4 linked regions of the Drosophila melanogaster genome follow. The main gene of each other region encodes a partner of the protein of the gene in region 2 in a complex. Each region holds a gene or a part of one and is shown on either strand. Other genes may lie near its edges. The genes, in order: HDAC1, Dp, Myb and E2f2.

The links.
Region 1: Dp (region 2) and HDAC1 share a complex: the UniProt entries of both Drosophila melanogaster proteins name them as parts of the DREAM complex.
Region 3: Dp (region 2) and Myb share a complex: the UniProt entries of both Drosophila melanogaster proteins name them as parts of the DREAM complex.
Region 4: Dp (region 2) and E2f2 share a complex: the UniProt entries of both Drosophila melanogaster proteins name them as parts of the DREAM complex.

What each region holds. Positions count from the first base shown.
Region 1 is NT_037436.4:4,624,932-4,629,983, forward strand, and holds HDAC1 (histone deacetylase 1), read left to right. Parts: upstream 1-1,802; 5' UTR 1,803-2,008; coding exon 2,009-2,051; intron 2,052-2,488; coding exon 2,489-2,601; intron 2,602-2,679; coding exon 2,680-3,925; intron 3,926-4,020; coding exon 4,021-4,184; 3' UTR 4,185-4,536; downstream 4,537-5,052. Other genes in the region: axo (axotactin), read right to left, coding at 4,885-5,052. UniProt on the Drosophila melanogaster protein: Catalyzes the deacetylation of lysine residues on the N-terminal part of the core histones (H2A, H2B, H3 and H4).
Region 2 is NT_033778.4:13,220,488-13,228,281, reverse strand, and holds Dp (DP transcription factor), read right to left. Parts: upstream 5,850-7,794; 5' UTR 5,237-5,849; coding exon 5,170-5,236; intron 4,692-5,169; exon of another isoform or gene 4,622-4,691; intron 4,108-4,621; exon of another isoform or gene 3,820-4,107; intron 2,961-3,819; exon of another isoform or gene 2,871-2,960; coding exon of another isoform or gene 2,816-2,870; coding exon 2,658-2,815; intron 2,592-2,657; coding exon 2,531-2,591; intron 2,474-2,530; coding exon 2,344-2,473; intron 2,281-2,343; coding exon 1,947-2,280; intron 1,879-1,946; coding exon 1,643-1,878; intron 1,583-1,642; coding exon 1,500-1,582; intron 1,437-1,499; coding exon 1,353-1,436; intron 1,297-1,352; coding exon 1,112-1,296; 3' UTR 537-1,111; downstream 1-536. Other genes in the region: Fsn (F-box synaptic protein), read left to right, coding at 6,113-6,420, 6,478-6,842, 6,906-7,000; CG17059 (uncharacterized protein), read right to left, coding at 7,379-7,516. UniProt on the Drosophila melanogaster protein: Component of the DREAM complex, a multiprotein complex that can both act as a transcription activator or repressor depending on the context. In follicle cells, the complex plays a central role in the site-specific DNA replication at the chorion loci.
Region 3 is NC_004354.4:15,854,312-15,859,356, reverse strand, and holds Myb (Myb oncogene-like), read left to right. Parts: upstream 1-1,533; 5' UTR 1,534-1,680; exon of another isoform or gene 1,681-1,743; 5' UTR 1,744-1,829; coding exon of another isoform or gene 1,830-2,183; 5' UTR 2,184-2,252; coding exon 2,253-3,567; intron 3,568-3,631; coding exon 3,632-4,290; 3' UTR 4,291-4,525; downstream 4,526-5,045. Other genes in the region: AlkB, read left to right, coding at 48-164, 216-757, 820-1,159; CG46440 (uncharacterized protein), read left to right, coding at 1,830-2,183; CG15914 (uncharacterized protein), read right to left, coding at 4,650-5,045. UniProt on the Drosophila melanogaster protein: DNA-binding protein that specifically recognizes the sequence 5'-YAAC[GT]G-3'. Component of the DREAM complex, a multiprotein complex that can both act as a transcription activator or repressor depending on the context.
Region 4 is NT_033779.5:21,153,778-21,158,659, reverse strand, and holds E2f2 (E2F transcription factor 2), read left to right. Parts: upstream 1-1,910; 5' UTR 1,911-2,616; coding exon 2,617-2,916; intron 2,917-2,978; coding exon 2,979-3,088; intron 3,089-3,294; coding exon 3,295-3,553; intron 3,554-3,674; coding exon 3,675-4,014; intron 4,015-4,080; coding exon 4,081-4,184; 3' UTR 4,185-4,367; downstream 4,368-4,882. Other genes in the region: Coq3 (coenzyme Q3), read left to right, coding at 97-125, 180-356, 417-1,143; Mpp6 (M-phase phosphoprotein 6), read right to left, coding at 1,201-1,689. UniProt on the Drosophila melanogaster protein: Transcriptional repressor that binds to E2f sites and represses E2f-regulated target genes. Binding to E2f sites requires transcription factor Dp. Acts synergistically with Rbf2 to antagonize E2f1-mediated transcriptional activation.

The sequences.
Region 1 (5,052 bases), on a different chromosome or scaffold from region 2:
AGTATGTGTCGAAATATAACAAACAACAAGTCTTAAGATTCCTTAAGTTAAGCTTTATTCCATTTCTTCATTATTTTTTCATCTTTCGACTTTTCACTGTACACATTATCAGCCACAGAAGCATAAATAGAAATGCAGCGGGAGAGCAAATCTAGCACTCTTTTTTTTAGTTTTTGTGTTTACTTATTTGCGTTCATTGGCTTCTCTTCCTAACGGCACTTCGGGCCAAGGAGGTGCGAATGAAAAGGAGCTATAATCCGGTTTTATATCGCACTTACCTTTTTTAATTAGAATAAATCAAAACTTTGCTGCGGATTCCGATTCTCTTTATTTGCTATCAAAAGCAAAGCGGACTTTACAGTTACGCCTGTTAAAGTTGTTGTTTTTACTGCACGGTCTGCGGGCCAAATAAAAACAACAAATACTATATTTTTGCTGTTTACTTTACGCCGAACTTCGACGCTAATTGGAAAAAGAGATGCGGGAAGGAGAGAGAGCAATGAAAACTATAATTAAACGCCAGCAAAAAAAGGTCTTAAATATCCTGCGGGCACAGCAACAACAACAGAGAAAAATACAGGAGGAAAACCAAGAGAAAGAAGGGGAGAAGTTAACATAAAGTAACAGAAAGTTGCGAAGGAGAGGCGTTGGTCTCCGAGGGGGAAAGGCATAGGAAAAGACTCTTAAGGGAAAAAGAGAAAAGTCGGAAAGAGAAAAGCTGCGCAGGATATTTTAGCCGCCTATGAAAAATGTTAATTTTGTTTTAAATGTTCACTGCGGGTTTCATATGTTTTTTCTTGCATTATTGGCCACTTCGCTTTGTCACTTTACTTCGGTTTTAATTTTTCCACTTCTTCATTCGCCCAGTGAGTGTGTGCGTGCGAGGGAGATGGAGCGAGAGAGCGTGTTTGTGTTTCCACTGCAACTCCATTCTTCTTTCTCTTTTTTCACACACACACACAGGGCACACACGCACACTTGCACATGGGGGAGTTGGAAACTTACGCGTCGCCGTTTTATTAATTTTATTCAATTAACAATCGCCTCTAATTCAGCAACTCCAAAACACTACAAAATCTCGTTGTACTTGAGCACTATTGTTTGTCGATAAGAAGCCGCCGAAAAACGCCGACCGAGGAGGAAAATCACCCGCGCTGGAAAATCGCGTCCGAGTCGTTCAACGGTGAATTTTAGAGTGAGAAGGAAAATCGTGGGAAACTGCGGTGGATTTTAGAGCGAGATGGGTGATGCTCTGAAAGAGAGAGAGGGAATGCACCCTCTGGCGATGGGCCAAGTTCGATATTAGCATGGATTCCTATCGATTAATCGACTTAACATTATTTACCCCGGACTACAACCTATTACTTCTGTGTTTTTGTTTTTCTTAAATTATAATGAATCATTTATATTTGTATAGAAAATATTGAAATCAATTAGTTTATTCGAATGCTTAAACTTAAATGTTTTCCAACAACATCTCTAGTTCCAGCTTCAGACTCTGCAACGTGATCTTAGCCAATAAACTTTGCTTTATAAACTTATAATTGATCCTTGCTATTTTTCCAAAAAATATGTCGTGATATTTGATAATTTTTGATAAGTACATAGGTCTGATTGTTTATATATCTAATAAAAAATGACCACTCTGTATGAAGAGGGTAATCGTATTTCATATGTAAATTTATTAAATATATTTCTTTAATAAATAATTAAATATATTTGTTTGGTATTTTCGGTATTCATGCAGTTAGTATTAAAAGTATATTCTGCAGAGCCGGGAAGTGTGGATTTAAAAAAGTCCGCGGTCACACTGCCCATCTGCAGAGGTTTCCTCTTCGCGAATTTGTCTTGTGCGCTCCGATTTTGGCTATATAGTTGCGCCAAAGTGCCAAAAATCGGACCGGCACCAAAGTAAACCATCTTCTGAGCTCGCAAGTTCATCCGATCGACGAAGGATAGAAAAACATCGACTTTAAGGGGATTTAAGACCCGCCAACAGCACCGCAAAATGCAGTCTCACAGCAAAAAGCGCGTTTGTTACTACTACGACAGTAAGTTTTGAGCATTTAAATGGAAGTAAAAGGCCTACTAGATGGGTAATTTGTGTTTACAAAGTGCCAGCTAGGGTTACCATGTCGACTTTGTGTTTTTTCCGCATCCACTTAGCATCAGATGATAGCATTTTTGCAAATTTCAAGTTTTACGGCGACTGTACGAGCGCGTTCCGGTCCACAGCGCACTTTTTCCATACGACCGCAGTGCGTTTGTATGCGTTTGTGTGTGTATGTACCTGATGTCTATCTTCCTCTTCTGTGTGTTTTTGTTGCTTTTTCGTTCGGGGCGAAAGTGCTACTACTGCGGTCGTTCGGAAAAAGTGCTGCTCTCAGGCAGACGCCTCGCCGACAGTGGCCTTAAAATTTGTATTCCACATAGCGTGGCAAATAATTACTTTTTCAACGTGCTCATAATTGCGATTTTTGATCCATAGGCGACATTGGCAACTACTACTATGGCCAGGGTCATCCCATGAAGCCCCATCGCATACGCATGACCCACAACCTGCTGCTCAACTATGGGCTCTATCGAAAAATGGAAATATACGTGAGTTACTTTATTAATATGTGATGATAGATATATATATATATATGATAGATTTAAACGCGAATTTCTCTATTCTAGCGTCCCCATAAAGCCACTGCCGATGAGATGACCAAGTTCCACTCGGACGAGTACGTCCGGTTCTTGCGATCCATTCGGCCGGACAACATGTCGGAGTACAACAAGCAGATGCAGCGTTTCAATGTCGGCGAAGATTGTCCCGTCTTCGATGGACTATACGAGTTTTGCCAACTCTCCGCCGGAGGATCCGTAGCTGCGGCCGTAAAACTGAATAAGCAAGCCTCGGAGATCTGCATCAATTGGGGCGGTGGGCTGCATCACGCCAAAAAATCGGAAGCCTCGGGCTTCTGCTACGTCAACGACATTGTTCTGGGAATTCTGGAACTGCTTAAATACCATCAGCGTGTTCTCTACATAGATATAGACGTCCATCACGGCGATGGCGTGGAGGAGGCGTTCTATACCACCGATCGTGTGATGACTGTCAGCTTCCACAAGTACGGAGAGTATTTCCCGGGCACTGGCGATCTGCGAGACATTGGCGCCGGCAAGGGAAAGTACTATGCGGTGAATATACCCCTGCGTGATGGCATGGATGATGATGCGTACGAGAGCATATTTGTGCCCATTATCAGCAAGGTGATGGAAACATTCCAGCCGGCAGCCGTGGTGTTGCAGTGTGGCGCCGATTCGCTGACTGGCGATCGGTTAGGCTGCTTCAATCTCACCGTCAAGGGTCACGGCAAGTGCGTGGAGTTCGTGAAGAAATATAACCTGCCATTCCTGATGGTCGGCGGTGGTGGTTATACCATTCGTAATGTATCCCGCTGCTGGACCTATGAGACCTCCGTTGCACTGGCCGTGGAGATAGCCAACGAACTGCCCTACAACGATTACTTCGAGTACTTTGGGCCCGATTTTAAGCTGCACATTAGTCCCAGCAATATGACGAATCAGAATACATCCGAGTACCTGGAGAAGATCAAGAACCGTCTGTTCGAGAACCTGCGCATGCTGCCTCACGCTCCGGGCGTTCAAATCCAAGCGATTCCCGAGGATGCCATCAACGATGAGTCCGACGACGAGGACAAGGTCGACAAGGATGATCGCCTGCCGCAGAGCGACAAGGACAAGCGCATTGTGCCCGAGAACGAGTACTCCGATTCGGAGGATGAGGGCGAAGGCGGTCGCAGGGATAACCGTTCGTACAAGGGTCAGCGGAAGCGGCCGCGTCTCGACAAGGACACCAACAGCAACAAGGCATCCTCAGAGACGTCCAGCGAGATCAAGGACGAAAAGGAAAAGGGTGAGTGATTAACCATTAGTCATTTTAATTGGTTCTACTGACCACTTGTAATTTGTATTTAAACCCTACTAACTAAACCATTATGCTGTTTTCAGGCGACGGAGCTGATGGCGAGGAATCGACGGCGTCTAATACCAATAGCAACAACAACAGTAACAACAAGAGCGATAATGATGCCGGAGCGACAGCTAATGCCGGATCCGGTTCGGGATCAGGTTCCGGTGCCGGGGCCAAGGGCGCCAAGGAGAACAACATTTGACGTGGCGGCCGCAATTGGTTATAGAAGCCAATTAAGCGACCGCCGAAGTACAAGCCACCGGATTTCACCTAGTGTCGTCTCATTCCCGCGCCCCCCTTCACCAACACGCCCCGTAGCCATGTCCAGGGCTTTTTCTACACGCCCCTACACAAGGTCCCACTGCGATCGGCTCCTTTTTTTCAGTGGGAATATTCCCAAAGGGGGATAAATCAGTAATCAGTGGGCGGAAACACAATTTATTTTAAGATCGAAAGTGTATAGCTAAGCAAAAAGTGAATGCATACTTACAAGCGATCCAATGTGGCGAATAACGCAGAAACTAATTTAATCAAATAAAAATATTTATACATTTATTGATTTTAATTTTAATGGAAAATTAATTGAGCTGCTATCTTTTAAATATTTTCTTTTGGAAGTATTCGATTTCCCATTTTTAGCAAAATACTTACGTTTCCACATTTAGGTTTCTTAGTAACAAACTAAACGATAATTTGTAACAATTTATTTGTATTTTAACTAGGACTAGCTAACAATTTTTAAGATTTTAACTTTGAGTTTCTAAGTTGAGGAGATTGTGGCATTTGGGGGGGAGAAAAGGATCCACTGGGGGTTTTCCCGCCCACCAGTTGACAGTTTGTGACTAGTCGGCGAGGTTTTCCACGGATTGCAGTGGGCGGAGAACTGGAAACTGGCTGCGGTGCTAATCCAGCGATAATATCGAGTCGATGCTGGTGCGATTACTGCGCGGCTGCAGACGCGGTCCACCCAAGTAACTAATTGGATTCGCGAACTGGCGCTGCAGCAGTGAGTTTTCCAGGAAAAGCGTCGGCGGCGGGGGTGGGCGCGTCACTTTCGAGTGATGCTGTCG
Region 2 (7,794 bases):
TAAACCATATGCGATGTCATGGATTATTGGACTTATTGCTTGGGTTGGGTGCAAGCAGAAGGGAGGAAAAGATTAAATTCTCTGTTTATCATATTTTACAATATGCAAATTACTTCTTTATTAACTTGTCACTCGGTTCGATTTCGTCTCACTTGTTTGCAATTTCCTTTCCATCCATGCAATTATTTCGTTTCATTACACAACTACATGCTCGACACTTAATTGTTAACGCCTTATACTTGACTACTAATTTGTATTTGCATGCTGTTGTATTCACTTGAAGAGGGTTCAATAATATAAATACAAATTCTGAAAATGTATATCGTGTTTTAATTGTTATTACTAATTAGGTAGGTTGATTATTTCGCAACTATCTGCACTCCCTTGTCAACTTAAAATTTGGGTTTTGAGAATCTAAAAGAATCGCTTTGTCAAAGGGTGTTAGCAAATTAAACATATTTCATATGTTCGCTCTTGTCTGCAGTTCAAACTGCTCGTGGCATTCTAAAAATAATTGCATTTCACTGCGGTTGTGTACAGTTTTGGTATATTATATTATTAAGAGACAATTACCCATAACATTATCGCTTTTGCTTAAGCCTACCCAAACATGAAAAGGCCATTGGGGGGAAAAGGGAGACTGATAACAACTAATTAGAGAGTGAACATTAGTCTGGGCATGTGGTTTCGCGGTATTGCCTTATGTGAATTGTGGTTTGAACTAAAAACGCGTTCTCCTTAACTAGACAAATTATTTTAAAAACGTTTCAGCTTAAACATAAATCTTCAATGATACAATTACAAACTGTGTATGCAAACTACACTTACATACATGAACTACCGAATCTTTCTCGTCGCTGCGAGATTGTATATATATAATTTAAGAGTCTCATTGAGAAGTAAACAAAACCAATTGTGTGGGTGGGTCGGATTGGGTGTGGAGTGGATTGGAGTGGAGTGCGGCTCCTGACTAACCAGGGGGCCGTGGCAAACCTAACAAAGCGTTGATAAACGTAAAACTAAACGTGTCCTCCGCATCAGCATCTGCTCCTCCATCCGCATCCGTGTCCGCATCGGCCATGGCTGGCACAATGACGGCGGCACCATCAGCTCAATCAATGTCGTCGTCCAGCTCGTCATCATCCATCTCCAGCTTGAACTCGCCATCGGTGGTGTGTTGTGCCGAGTGTTGTGCAAAGCCCTGGGACTCATTGGCCGACTCCAGGTACCCGTTGAACTCATTGTCCTCGTCATCCGATTCGTACATATTTTCGCCAGTCTTGCCGGTGCCGTAGGCTGGGCCAAATATAAAGTTTAATAACAGTGAATTGGAAGACAATATATGGTCATACCTTCTACGTATTTGGCAAGGTTTGGAGGCACCCACGACTTGACTCGTTCAATGTTCTCCGGCGTGCATTCGCCCTTATCCAGTCCTGCAGGTAATAGCATATGCAATGAATTTCTTATCCCGAATGCCCAATATTAAACACACTCACCCAATAGGAATCCCATACGCTTGAGCACCTCAATGTCATCGTGCATTTCGAAGGTTTTGTCGAACTTGAATATGTATTCGGACCTGAAACGATATATGGGAAATAGAATACAAGCCATACTCCGACTGAGTGTGAGCGCTCACTTGTCGTTGGTCACACTGCAGTTGATTTTCGTGGACTTGTGCGTGTTCACGATGATGAACGGTAGCTGGATCGAGGCATTCGGGGAAGGCACCACGCCTTGGCTCTCGTTTCGCTTGTTCCGCTCGACCAATCCCTTGAACGCCACATGCTGCATGATCATTTCGCGCAACATTTCGTTTTTCTGTTTTATTCGCTCGCGGCGCTGACAGTTTTCCTCTTCCAGGGCCAGAAATGTCTATGAAAAGGGGACAAAATAATCACATTAGCATGGAGTTTGGTGCCTTTGGTGAACACAAGTCCCACCTCTGTCGAATTTGCGGGCAGTCCTATCCAGCGAATCTCCTTCTTGTCCTTGGAAATAACATTGATTGCCATCAGTACGTTGAGCGCATCGTAGACACGACGTCGGATATTCTTTTGATCACAGTTGTTGTCGTACGCATTGTTCTTCATCTCCTCGCTGACCAGGTCGTCGGCCACCTCATTGTAGGTGGTCTTGCCCTTCTCCTCCACCTTTTCGCATACCTTCATCGAGAAATGGCGCAAACCTTTGCCTGCCTTGTCCGGCTTGCGTTTCCTTTGAACGGACGATGAGGAGGCCGACATGGAGTGCAACGAGTTGCTCTGAATGGCATGGCTGTTTGGGAAGGAACAAAGCTATAGTATCCTCCTCGATCCTGCTCGGTTGGTTACTACTTACAGTTTTGATTTCATTTTTATGGGATTTGGTGTAAACTTCACATAGCGATCTCCCTTCAAGGGCAAGTCGTAATGACCACTGCCAGCACCCGAAGTCTTTTGCGCCGAAACGGTGGTGTAGGTGGTACCTGCTACAATAAGGGATACAATGATTAATTGAAGTGGTAAGAGGAGGATCACACGCTTACCTTCTGTTTTTGGAATGGACAGTCCGTTGTCCTGCAGTCGTATAAACTGCCCTTGACTGCCCTGCGTTTAAATCGGATCGTTAGGTACTAAGTGTAAGCAACGTGAGCAACCGCGTTCTACACTTACCATCTGACTAAAGGCGCCCATGCGTCCCACGTTGCCGATGCCGCTAGCACTTCCGCTGTTGCGCGCGGATGAGCCGGTGGCGTAGACCACCGCCACGGGCTTACCTCCCTCCATTTCGGACTTGTTCTGGGCCGGCTTCAGCATTTTGGATATTTGTCCTGCAGAATTGGAAATTGGAAGATGCGGAGGTTCCTTAGTTTCCGATATACACATAACACGCGACTGAAATGCCGTCGTTGATAACAAAACTGCATGTACTCCACAGACACACACATGGGTGTCAGAGTGTTAGCGAGTAACTGAATGTATGTGTGGTACTATCAACGATGCGTTTTTTCGCCGTATATACGGTGAATTCATCGCAGCGAAGTGAAGAGAATGGAATGGAGCGAGTTAAGCGCACTGGAGTCGGAATACAACAACGAAAGGCGAGCGGCACATTAAGATTGGGGTGCATACACACATACACACAAGGTATACCCACACTCACGTGCTGGTGGTGAGTGTGCGTGTGTTTCAATCGGTGTGACAAGGATACAAATGCAGAAGCATAAACAACCCGAAACCAGATCGCCTGGACATTAGTGATGGCAACCACGTGACCCTTAACCAATTAGAGATGGTTCGATACTAAAGTTCGTGACTCGACAAGATTGTTGATCAGTCATTAGTCGGATTAATCCAAGTTCGAATATAATTTGAATTAAATATAGTGCGATTATAGGTTTCCCATTAAAACTCACAATTCGACTTTTAACTGGAAAGACAATAAATCAAGCAGAAGCCTAAGCAGAAGAAAAAGTAAGAGCAAATATGATACCGGTTAGTATTTTTAAAAGCGTGACATTTCAAATCACTGTTCTTAGTTGCGTTCTTTAGTAAATTTTATTTACTGCTAATTTGGTATATCCAACACTATGAGCACTTCCATTCCAAAGCAACTATAATATCAAGGCAGAATTAACCGGAAACCCATTAAGACTACTCGGTTGGCACCCCTGGGTTTCGTATCCAACCGGCTTTTCTAAACATTTCCAGTTTTAGATGGTATTCATTCGATGTAATAATTGTTCACCTGTCGCCAGCCCAATATTTGCATAATCATAACAACAAAGCAGGTGGACAACGCATAATGGAGATGAAGATGCCCAAAACAAAAACCGCAAAGGGTCGAGCGCTAAAAATACCTGCCAACTCTCCCGCACCCACGGGCACATCACACGCACACACACCTGCAAGTGAGTCAGACTCACGGGGGCTTGAGCAGCGGACACATGCGAGAAAATGCCGGACTGTCCCACCAGATGGTAACGATGGGAGTCTTAAACTCGGCGGGAGTTATCCTACAATGCCTAGGCAGAGTCCCAAAATGCAGGTGAAACCATAATCCCTACAATTGGAGAAGCAGTTCCATAGTTCGTCTGCACCAGTCAACCAGCAGATAACTACAAACCAGGTAACTCGCTGGTACGAACAGGCTGATATACTGGTCTATATAAAGCGTTTATGCGCGCTTCATATTCAACAAAGAGCAATATCACTGATTAAAAATTACTATTTCTTTACATATTGGGGATTAAAGAGACATTTTATACAAATAAAAGCACGTCATAAAGCTATCCATATCTTCTTCTTTGCTATCATGACTGAATGAAACTCATGAAGTTAATCAGTTCAGTACTGCGGGGTACGGTAAATACCGCATAAACGCGGCGACGGACAACTACACACGTGTACAGCGCTTACACCTATTTGCTCTCGCCTGTTTTGGGCTTCAGCTTCGTGGCTGACTACGTGTGTGTGTGTGTGGCAGTGTTGTTCTTGCTGTGGCCTTTTTTCTCTCACCCCGATCTCTCTTGGCGGTGCGCCCCGTCTCTCTCCCACTCGCTAAGATATGGCAGAATGTCACGCTGTTCAGATACATTTGTTTCAAGTTGAATTTACAATGTCCCTCACAATAATACCTTTGTACGTAGCTGAAATCAACGATTTATCACTACTTCACTTCATGCTAAATCCTCAAAGCGAATTCGCAGTGGCGGCGAAGTAATCAGCTGTTCGCCGCCCAATGAAAAAACAAAAAAATAAGTAGGAGAAAACGCGCGCGTGCTAGTGTGCGTGCATGTGTGTGTGTGAGCAAGCGCGCCAACTGGGCGATGGGCGTAGATGGCAGAAGGGGGCGGGTCTGGGTGGCTTACTGATATAAGTTGTTATTTCGCGGGGGTCTCTGTCTTTTATTATTACTTTTTGCCAATTTCTAGCACTCTTTTCGGTTCGTCTCGCTGGCCTCCCCCCGCAAAGCGTATCAAACGATGAATACGGTAGGCAAAAGAAACCCGAAAAAGCAAAGATGGCGTTTTACGCTGCCCATGCAACTTTGTAGCGTATCTGTGTGGGTCGCCTTGTGTATGAGGGGGTGTGTGTGTATGATGGACTATAGCGGAGGGAGGGAGTGCACTCACTCCATCGTGAGCAAAACTCCTATTACAGGACACCGCTTCCGCCCACTTACCGTGCTCGTTCCGGAAGAAGAAGTTCACCTCATCGGTCTTCACCGTACCGCCCGTCGAATGCGCCATTTTTCGGCCGCCGGAGATCAAGTGATCTTGTTGTTGTCGCTTACCGCTCACCAGGTGGACCGCCAAAAACAAAAGGAAAGAGCAGTGCTACGTGCCGTTTCGCCGCAACGTGTGTGCTAGGGGGGGGCAAATGGAGCTGGAATGGGCGACGGCGGTGGATAGGCGGACGTACTGCACCCACGGACTGGGGCACGTGTGCAAATCCGGATGCGGACCACGACCACGACGACGACGACTGCAATGGGGAGCGCACTTGTACAAAAAATAAGTGTCGCCCAAGTCAAAATGGCGAGCGCATTTTTCACTTCCAGCGGCAGGGCATTTTTTTTTTCTTTTCTGCTGCTCACACACACTCACAGCGGCGGCCCTTTTTCGGTGGCCTTTTTCGCGGTGTTTCGGCGCACGGATTTTCACGAGATTAGTGGCAAAAGATACGGCGAACTTTTAGCTATCGAACGGCTGGCAGCAGCGCGAATTTCCGCAATTTCTAAGCGCAACAAAATGGTCACAAAATTTCCACCAAGTGGCTGCTTTTCGTTTTCATGTGGGAAAGGCAAAGCAGGCTGTGTGCGGGTGCGAATGAAATGGCAGACAGTGCGCGCCAATTTACGCATCAATTTACGCAGTGTTGTAAGCAGCTGTGTGCGACAGTCGCTATCGCACACTGGTCGCGGATGTAAACAAAGTTGCCACTTTGTCCAGGTGAGCGGTATTTCGCTGGCAGCCCGCCAACGGTCACCCTGAATCGCAGAATATTAAAGTTTTCGAGTTTTATTTTTACCCATTTGGTTGGTGTGGGAAAATGACAATCAACAGGAACGGGTAAATCCAAGCAGCTATCTACACGAGCCCAGCAGCGGAGCGCACACGCACACAATGGTCGATCCGGTGGCGGCGCTGTGCAATTACAATGTGCTGGAGGTAATCTTCTCCTACCTGGAGCTGGACGACCTCAGTCATTGCTCGCAGGTGTGCAAAAGTTGGTACCACTTCCTCAACGACGAGAACAGCGACGTCTGGCGCTGGCACTGCCTGAACAAGCTGCCCAAGGAGTCCCTCAAATCGGACCTGCTGGCCTCCGTCTCCACGTACAAGACGAAGCTGCGGGCCTATTTTCACGCCTGGAGCCCCAACGACTGTTCGAGGAATGTGTACATTAAGCCGAACGGATTCACCCTGCATCGGTAAGGTATTCGGTTTGCTTGAGTCGGCGTTATATGTATGTCCCTCCATTCCCGCAGCAATCCCGTGGCGCAGAGCACAGACGCGGCCCGGGGCAAGATAGGATTCCGCCACGGTCGTCACACCTGGGAGGTGATATGGGAGGGACCGCTGGGCACTGTGGCCGTCATCGGCATATCTACCAAGGAGGCGGCTCTACAGTGTCACGGCTATGTGGCTCTGCTCGGCTCCGACGACCAGAGCTGGGGCTGGAATCTGGTCGAGAACCACCTGCTGCACAACGGCGACATGCAGGGCAGTTACCCGCTGCTGAACAATGCTCCCAAGTACCAAGTGGGCGAGCGGATACGCGTCATTCTCGACTGCGAGGACAACACCTTGTCGTTCGAGAAGAACTACGAGTTCCTCGGTGTGGCCTTCCGGGGTAAGGGGAAATAGTTTGGTGATACCAGCGATACGAACGATTCTATGCACTTTCACCTTGCAGGCCTGCCGGACAAAAAGCTCTATCCCACAGTATCCGCTGTCTACGGCAATACCGAGGTCTCGATGGTCTATCTGGGCACGCCGTTGGACGGATAGCTTTGCAGAGGGCCTACAACTTGGTTAACAACTTCCACGGATCCATTAGGTTATTGTGTACATTTGTATTTATCTCAATTATGATTGCTTCATTCCACCTGAAACTCAGTTCGATAAATTTAGTTAATAGTTTCGTTTTTTTGTACAAAATTATGCATTTTGTTGATTTACGCTAAGCCAAAGTTCATATCCACCTCGGCACTATCTCACATGGCAATTTACCTTAGTTATACGAACCAAATGAATATAATAAGCGATTAAACAATAGTTGAAGCAATTTTTTATACACCAATGATCGCTGATTGTGCAAGTAAAATTACAGACAGAAGAACGAGTCGCGAATACAAATCTTTCAATCCATTTATTGCGTGGTGGCCTCTACTGTTTCCCATCGGTTTTCATCTTGGCCCAGTTGTCTTCATCGAACAGATCATCAAAATCATTGTAGAAGTCAGCGTGGACGTGCTTATCGTTGGAGGGCAGGTGGTCCATCATCATTCCTGTGGCTCCGCCGGACTAAAGGAATACAATATAAATATATACATATGTATATGAGCGTATGGTGGCAGGTTTTTAACATTTATGTAGGATATTGCCATGAGCATTGATGAAAACTCTGGACATGGGAACAATTAATATAATAAATAAAGTCGCCAAAAGATGAAATGAAAGATACATATTCCTGTTTTGCGGGGAAACACTACTTCTAAAGAAGATTGTAGATTTATCTGATTGTTGTTTACTTTTAATTGCAATGTTGGCTACAAGGATAAACAAAGTTTTCGACGACCATA
Region 3 (5,045 bases), on a different chromosome or scaffold from region 2:
CGTTTATATTAACTTATTGTTTATATTGTACTTATTGTTTATGAAGCATGTTCAAGCTAGTTTTTAAGCAGTACAAGTGCAAAAGTACCAGTCCTGATTTAACGGAAGTTGTTAAGATCGATGATTGTGTAGTCAAGGGGAATGATCAAGAAAAGAGTGATAATGTAAGTACTCGATCCGTTGCAATTGAATTATGATTTCTACATTCCCCTCAGAATATTGTTCAACGATTAAGTATCAGCAATGTAGAAAGCCTACAGACAATGCCAGGCGTTAAATCGCCAAAAGATTGGCGAACCTATACATTAACTAACCATCCCGGCATTATTGTGATTCGGAATCCATTCTCGGAACGAGGCCGGCGTTATTGGAGCGCCCGATGTCTGCGGGATTTTCCGCGAACGCCAAATATAGTCAATTTAAATGAAAGGCTCTTCGATGAATCCGTCAGGTCGGACTGGTGGAAACAGCTTAATCTGTGCAGCGATGGCGTTGAGTTCCAACGTATAAAATCCGCGATGCGTTGGACGACATTTGGATATCATCACAACTGGGACACGAAGATCTATGATGAGGAGATGCAGTCGCCGTTTCCCGAAGATTTGAGCAGTCTATGCGGATTGTTTGCGCAAGCGTTGGGATACGCGGATTTTAAGCCAGAAGCCGCAATTGTAAATTACTATCCAGTTGGTAGTACGTTATCGGGTCACACAGATCACTCTGAACCAAACAAATCGGCCCCTTTGTTTTCTTTTAGGTAATATATCACGGATTAAACATATCCGTGCAGCTAATTTTTTTTTAATTTTATGCTTACAGTTTTGGTCAGACTGCAATATTTCTAATTGGTGGAAGATCTTTAGAAGAAAAGCCAACCGCTATCTACCTTCAATCCGGGGACGTTATGATAATGTCCGGAGAATCGCGTCTATGCTATCACGCAGTTCCTCGTATCATCAAAACTCAGGCTTCCGCGACTTTATCACTGATAATTGAAGATGTCGATAATGCAGATATTAAAACGCGTACAATTGATAAAGATTTATTTCATGATGTTGGCAACCCTCAATTTTGGGAGCCTTTTTCGAGATATATGGACGATTCACGTATTAATATTAATATACGTCAAGTTTTAAATCCAGGAGATGTTAAGCTTTAACCCCTCCTTGGAAAAATTTTTAATTTTATAGTATTTTACAAAATAAAAAACTGCATTTCAATTGAAAACTAAAGAAACATAGCAATTAACGTTGAAGTGATGCGTTCAATGGAAATATCTTAAATGTATAGGTGAAGTTAATAGTTTTATAAATATATTTTTCAGTCCCTATAAATGCTACTGACAACTAAATTTGGCAATTCTGACAAAATTATTTTATCCGATGGCAACTTTTTAACAATATTTCCAAGAAGTTGATAGCTAAATATCGATACTATCCCAGCTATCGTACAAGATATTGACTTCTAGTGGAAACGTGCCGATTACCGTAGTGATTATTTATCGATAGATTTTAATCGTTTTGAATTACAACGCTAGTGCTCGTGTAACGGTCACACTAAGTACTACATTTAATATAATAAGATGCGACGCCGTAAAATTCCAGTGTGAAAACGTGAATGAACTGATCAAAAACACCAAAGTGTGTACCCATAGCCCAGCAGTTTGAATTTGAAATAACGGTAGCACCACTTTAGATGAAGACAAATGTGCGAGTGGTAATTTTTTTCCCCCGTTTTCCTCAGTGCTAAATATAGAGCATCAAAATGTTTGGCATAAACGTAATATCGTAAAACTTGCATCTGCTTTTTAGTTCGCTGCCTGAATGAGTATGTCCACAAATATCTGTAATCTTCAAGTAACAAAGAACACGAATCCAAACCAAAATCGCCTCGAGGAGCAGCAAACAAAACTATTCGATTTTGGGCGGACCGAGAGCGATGCGACGCACCCAATATTGCGCAGCGATCATCAACGTGAACTGGTCGACTGCCTGACGTGCGGAAATCAATTCAAGTGTAACTCGTACAGCGACATTTGCTCGCACTACATATTCTACCATCCGCATATTCTGGATCATTTGCCCAAGTGCTTGTACTGCAAACGCGACGTTCATCGTTTCCAGCGTGGGAACAAGTCAGAGCCGGAGATCTATCACTTTTGTTCGCCCCGCAAGCAGCGTTAAAGAACCCATACACATATATACAAAGAGCGCCATTATTCATATATATATACCTATAAAGTTGATCTTAAGATGGCAAGTGCGAGCACTGAAAACGGCGAGGAGCTGATGAATTACGGCAGCAATTCGGATTCGGAGGAGTCCGAGTACTCGGAGAACGAGGATACCCAAGTTTGCGACAAGGATTCACAACAGAACAGCAATGCCGATTCGGGCTATCCACTGGACTCGCCCGAACTACAGGACTCCAAGACGACGGGGCAAAAGGGACAGAACAAAAGCGGTAAAACTAGCATCGGTGCAGTGCATCCGAACTATGGATTCGGCAAACGCTGGTCCAAGTCCGAGGATGTGTTGCTCAAGCAGCTGGTGGAGACGCACGGTGAGAACTGGGAGATTATCGGACCGCATTTCAAGGATCGCCTGGAACAGCAAGTGCAGCAGCGTTGGGCCAAAGTCCTCAATCCGGAGCTAATCAAGGGCCCGTGGACGCGGGACGAGGACGACATGGTTATTAAGCTGGTGCGCAACTTCGGGCCCAAGAAATGGACACTAATTGCACGATATCTGAACGGACGAATTGGGAAACAGTGCCGCGAGAGATGGCACAACCACCTCAATCCGAATATCAAGAAAACGGCCTGGACCGAAAAGGAGGACGAGATTATCTACCAGGCTCACTTGGAGCTGGGCAACCAGTGGGCAAAGATTGCCAAACGTCTGCCCGGACGCACCGATAACGCCATTAAAAACCATTGGAATTCAACAATGCGTCGCAAATATGACGTCGAACGCAGATCGGTTAATGCATCTGGTAGCGATTTGAAGAGTTCGCGAACCCATCTCATCACGCTGATCAAGTCCGGTGGCATCAGCAAGTGTATGAATAATATGCAACATAACAAGGAATCTGGTGGTGAGGCAGTTAATAAATCCGAAAACGCCGATGGCGCTTCGGTTACTGCCGTGAAAGGTGGTGATCTGGCACAGGAATCACAAGACGATCATCAAAAGGGATCCAATCTGGCACACCTCAGTATGCAGCATCTCATTAAGTTGACCATGCCGCGCCAAACACCGATCATATTGAAGCGTACACGCAAACACATTCCCGAAACTCACCATCAGGCAGGATGTTCATCAAGTGAGACATTCAACCAGGAAGAAGCCGCCGGAAACGCCAGGTCGCGACCACCGAGTTCGCCCGTCATATCGCCCATTAAGTCGCTACCCTTTTCACCGAGTCACTTCCTCAAGTCGCCTTGCCTGACCACCTTTGAAGATATGGATCTGCGGGCTAGCACGCCGGTAACCAAGGTCTATAATCGCGTTGGAATGGAGATCAAAAAGGAAATGGAGACATCGTCGATAGAAACTCCACACAAGAGTAAGTACAAGCCACTGTTGGCTTCAAATGCATCTTGAATACACACAATCATCGTTATTTGTAGGTCAACTTGGACCACGAACACCAACGCCCTTCAAAAAGGCACTTGCTGCCATCGGCAAGAAGAGGGACGGTCGTCGATACGAGCCCTCCAGCCCATCCAGTCTGGTGGAGGATCTGGCCGAAATCATCCATGAAGAGCATCTGAGCAACTCGCTGACCGCAAACAATTCCAAAATGATGGGCGCCGCCGATCAGAACTCAACGCTAAGCACCGAATACAATGCTCAGTCGCCGCCGCATATGAAACGTGCCAGGAAGTCATTGCTCTCAACTTGGAGCTCCAATCATCCATACAACGCTGGCTCCGCCAAGAGGATTCAACCCTTCGAAACCGAGACGCCCAGCAAGTTTCTCACATCGCCGGGCGATATTTTGAAGGACACGCTGTGCAGCGAACAGGACCTGCCGTTCGACGAGGGCAGAAAGGAGAATCGACCATTCCATAATCGCAGAATTAACAAGTACCGCGGTGGCTTGACCTACGATCATGTCATTGATCCCAAGTGGGCACGCGTCGCTTGTGGCAAGTCCAGAGATCAAATGTTTATGGAGGAGCAGGCTTATGCGTGCCTCAAAAATCTGTCCTGTATTTCGCGCTCCCTGAACTTCGAGAAACAAAAGTGTTTGGTGAATTCGTTCGACCGCTTTGGTTCGCTCTAAATTCTATGTGGCTATATTCAGGTATTACAAACAAAATTCTATACGCATCATCTTTATAATATTGTAGATATGAATCCCCAAATTTTCATCCAAATTGTGTTTTCGAAATAGAATTTATTGTGCTACATTTATGGCATTATTGGTTACATCCACCTTAAATTGTATCCCATTTTTTTCGGATATTTCATAAATAAATAAATGCTTAAAGTGAATGAAGCGTGTTTTAACACAAAGGACTTACATATATATATCGTTTTTTTTTGGCTTTGTAGGTTACAGAAGAGAGATATATTTATTCAAAAATATATCTATTATATTACAGAGAATATTTTGATAGACATTTGCCAAACCTTCGATTTCTAACTTTGTTCGTCTGCAATATGTTTATTGAATATGTCCAGATATTTTGGCACTAGTTCTTTCGCCGAAAAACGATCGAAATTAAAGTTCTCAAAGAATTGATCGCGCTGCTTGCGAAAGACCCTCGGCATTCTACAAAAGTTGTAGAGCTTCTTCGTCAGCGCATTGGAGGTGTTGTAGAGGTTTTCCTTTGGGTAGATTTCCGGGTAGACCAATTTGTTGGGCGCAATGGGATAACAGCCGCAGAAAGCGGCCTCCAGCATTGCTACTCCAAAAAACTCATGGTCGGCAGTTGATATCACAATGTCCCCAGTCAGCAGGGTCTTCAAGTACTCTTCACGCTCCAGATGGCCAAAGTTCACCAGCTTGCTGCCCAGTTTCTCCTGTATATGCTC
Region 4 (4,882 bases), on a different chromosome or scaffold from region 2:
ATCCCCCTTAATGCACCTGGCTACGCCCATGCTTTCGCCGGGCAGCAAAACAAAGTCAGCTGTTTTTGTTTATCAACGTTTGTTTTTCTCGCAAAAATGATGCGAAATGCCTTGTTAGTAAGCGGGTAAGTCAAAAAATAGACTGCAAAAGTAGATTACATTACAGTTTTGCATTCCAGCAAACTGAGACATTTGCTATCCTGTTCTATCGGGCGAAATTCGACTAGAAGCAGCAGCACAGCGAAGTCGTTGGATGCCGGCACCCAAAAGGAAGTGCGGCACCATGAGAATCACGCCTCGGAGTGGTGGAATCAAAATGGAACCATGGGTGCTCTACATGCCCTGAATGAGATTAGGTAAGCTATACAGATTTGATGTTCCAAAGGTTTATAGCTAAGTTCCTTTCCACCTTTCAGGGTTCCCTTTATCAGAGATGGCATCGTTTCGCGTGGCACTGTGAAGCCAGGTTACGTAAATACCACCAAAGTGTTGTTGGGTCAAAATATTCTGGAGGTCGGATGTGGCGGAGGATTGCTTACGGAACACTTGGCGCGCCTGGGTGCCCAGGTGGCTGGCATAGATCTTGGCGAGAAGTTAATAGAAGCTGCTCGCGAGCATCTCAAATGCTCCAGTCCGGAGTTGGCCAGCAATGTGGTGTACAAAATTGAGCCGGTGGATCAGCATGCCAAGGCCAATTGCGAATGCTATGATGCGGTGATAGTGTCTGAAGTTCTGGAGCACGTCAAAGATAAAGTGTCCCTGCTGGAGGCCAGTGTACGCAGCCTAAAGCCTGGAGGATCCATCTTTATCACCACTTTGAACAAAACCATACCCAGTTGGTTCGGTGGCGTGTTACTCAGCGAGTATGTTCTCAATCTGGTGCCCAGGGGAACGCACCACTGGGACAAAATGATTTCGCCCTTGGACGTTCAGCGCATCTTGGATACGAGTAAGTTTATCTCAGGCTTTATATTCAGATTAGGCTATTCTTTATTCTCTCGTTCATCTGCAGTGAACTGTCAGACGGTGTTGGTAAATGGAAGCACCTACGACTTTTGGAGCAACACCTGGCGATGGATCAACAACAACCAGATGTGCTACGCCTTGCAGGCGGTGAAACAAGCACAGCGCGAGTACAATTGAATTCGTATATTTATTTAACTAAAAGCTAAGTCACGAGTGTAACAACTAAGTAGTAAACTATTCGTCACCCGAGCGTGGTTTCTTAAAGTACTGCTTCTTCATGGCATGCGGACTATCACTATCTCCGCCGATTTGCTTCCTTTTAAAGTCCTTTTTGGTGTTAAACTTCTTGCTCATGCTGCCGGAGACCGTGGGCGCCTTGTTGGCATAATAAGCCTTTACCATGTCTTGGTCGGATACCTCCTTGGGCTGCTCCGGCCTTGTGCGGCCCTGCTTTTCCGCCAGATCCTGCTCCATGAGAAGTTCTAGCTCCGGATTCATGCCGCGGAAACTGAGGCGTCCGTCTATCAGGCCGGCGCATATCGAGTAGCTGGACTCCACCACAAAATTCGAGGTGGAATTGAGCATCTTCTGGTTGATCTCGTTGGAGTACAGTGCCCTGCTCTGCTCATCGTCTGCCTCCTTTTCCACTTTAACTTTTGTGCGCTGCATGAACTTCATGTCCAGGACACCACGCGAAAGTCTCGGCTTTGATTTGGATGGCATTTTCCTTATTTATTTTTGAATCTAATATAGTAGAAGTCCTTTGAGTTTAAAAACTAGGGCGAAACCATCAGGCACATTTAATTTTTTTCAAAAGCAGAATGACCGAGCACAACAAATGGGGAAAGCCAGTGCTGCAAATCATCGTTCAGCCTAGCTAGAAAACGTGGCGCGCCCTCGTGTTTATGCGATGTTTAAAGTAAATATTTAAATTACTGTTGAAAGTTAAAACAATCCTTCGTTATCAAGTTGATCTTTTTAAAATTTTAAATTCACCCTACTGACAAACAAGCTCAACTCCATCTTCATGGGCACTCTTAAGAAAACTTCCAGCTGTGCTATACATGCTCTGTAAACGATCAAGACTAGCACAGGCGCCTTCAAAGGGTTAATGCTTTTAATTTGAAACCTAAAAAAGACCCAATTTCATTTAAAAGTTGTCGCCAATATTATCGGACAATAAACCTTAACGAATGGCTAAATATTATGGAGTACTAAAATAATTATTATTTATTCGTGATGATACATTTGAAGACCAAGTAGAAAACATTGGATGATCTGTGTGTTGGACTGCAGACTAAACTAAATACAGAATTTAAATGAAAATTAATTGAAATTAAAGATCAAAATATTAAAAATGTTTACCTGTTTAAAATATAGTGTTGAAATGTGCGCAAGCATCGATTAATCGATTTACTATCGTCGTGGCAGCGTCGCTTTGCCACACTGCGCAGTGCGCACGAAGAATAGAGGGAGAATGAAAAAAATGACATAAATGGCGGAAAGCAAACCTAGCGCCAACATTCGTATTTTCGTTTAATTTTCGCTCCAAAGTGCAATTAATTCCGGCTTCTTGATCGCTGCATATTGAGTGCAGCCACGCAAAGAGTTACAAGGACAGGAGTATAGTCATCGAGTCGATTGCGGACCATGTACAAGCGCAAAACCGCGAGTATTGTTAAAAGAGACAGCTCCGCAGCGGGCACCACCTCCTCGGCTATGATGATGAAGGTGGATTCGGCTGAGACTTCGGTCCGGTCGCAGAGCTACGAGTCTACACCCGTTAGCATGGACACATCACCGGATCCTCCAACGCCAATCAAGTCTCCGTCGAATTCACAATCGCAATCGCAGCCTGGACAACAGCGCTCCGTGGGCTCACTGGTCCTGCTCACACAGAAGTTTGTGGATCTCGTGAAGGCCAACGAAGGATCCATCGACCTGAAAGCGGTACTAACACGGCCAAGCATTAAGTACTCTACCTTAACATCGTCCAAATTTCCCCTCTGCAGGCAACCAAAATCTTGGACGTACAGAAGCGCCGAATATACGATATTACCAATGTTTTAGAGGGCATTGGACTAATTGATAAGGGCAGACACTGCTCCCTAGTGCGCTGGCGGTAAGAGCCCCTTACATTTTATGAAACATTTTAGTTAGAACTAAAAATGTTAGTGACAACAAAATTAAACAAAATGGGGTGGAAGTCGCCCTTTAGCACTTAATACTTAATACAGTACAAACAGGTGGAATTTACTTTGATCATCTTCAAAGTATGATTCCACATAAATATTTCTTGATAAATTATTGATAATGTGCATTTTCCAGCGGAGGGGGCTTTAACAATGCCAAGGACCAAGAGAACTACGACCTGGCACGTAGCCGGACTAATCATTTGAAAATGTTGGAGGATGACCTAGACAGGCAACTGGAGTATGCACAGCGCAATCTGCGCTACGTTATGCAGGATCCCTCGAATAGGTCGTATGCATATGTGACACGTGATGATCTGCTGGACATCTTTGGAGATGATTCCGTATTCACAATACCTAATTATGACGAGGAAGTAGATATCAAGCGTAATCATGTAGGTATCTTACCAGTCGGAGCTCTTTAAACTAGCTTTCGAGGTTTCCCATTTCTTTCAACGAAGAAATATCTAAATTTATCGTATAATATGGGATTCAAACGAAACATTGTTTTTGTAGTACGAGCTGGCCGTGTCGCTGGACAATGGCAGCGCAATTGACATTCGCCTGGTGACGAACCAAGGAAAGAGTACTACAAATCCGCACGATGTGGATGGGTTCTTTGACTATCACCGTCTGGACACGCCCTCACCCTCGACGTCGTCGCACTCCAGCGAGGATGGTAACGCTCCAGCATGCGCGGGGAACGTGATCACCGACGAGCACGGTTACTCGTGCAATCCCGGGATGAAAGATGAGATGAAACTTTTGGAGAACGAGCTGACGGCCAAGATAATCTTCCAAAATTATCTGTCCGGTCATTCGCTGCGGCGATTTTATCCCGATGATCCGAATCTAGGTTTGTCTTCTTATCTTGCCAATTTAAAAGACCCCCTGTTTAACTTGATGCTGTCCGATGTTGCAGAAAACCCGCCGCTGCTGCAGCTGAATCCTCCGCAGGAAGACTTCAACTTTGCGTTAAAAAGCGACGAAGGTATTTGCGAGCTGTTTGATGTTCAGTGCTCCTAACTGTGGAAGGGGATGTACACCTTAGGACTATAGCTACACTGCAACTGGCCGCGTGCATTGTGCAAATATTTATGATTAGTACAATTTTGACTTTGGATTTCTCTATATCGTCTAGAAATTTTTAATTAGTGTAATACCTTGTAATTTCGCAAATAACAGCAAAACCAATAAATTCGTAAATGCACACATTGTAGGTTGTGTATTTTTTTGTTTTAGGTAACTTCCGTAAATGTCGTGGAATTATTTGGTCGTGTATGTGGAAAGTGCCAAGGAAGGTTGGAAAGATTTATAGGTTTGTTTTAATTTGGTCTAGAAAATCTATGATGCCTTGTTAAGCGTTTATGTTTACGTTTTTAGAGAGATGGTTGATGTCTTGGTATTTTTCCAGGGCTGGAAAGTGTTGTACTTGGAACAGCTGATTAAGATGTGGGATACGTTATCGAAAACGTTACTTGGTCCCCTTATGTTATTGTAACATGTACTTTATTCAAAGTATAATTGTCGAATCCGTTATCGCTGAGAAGTCTGTTGATTCTTTTGATCTCTGTAGATTTAAGTTTACATTTGGGATTTTTAACCACGGTTTTTTCAATGTGTCTGGGAAAAGTGTGCAGTAGTCCCGCTGTTTGTTTGCAGCAAAATCTGCGTTTTCCCTTTCCCAGTCTTTTTGAATGATTTAAACCGAGACATCTTTAATG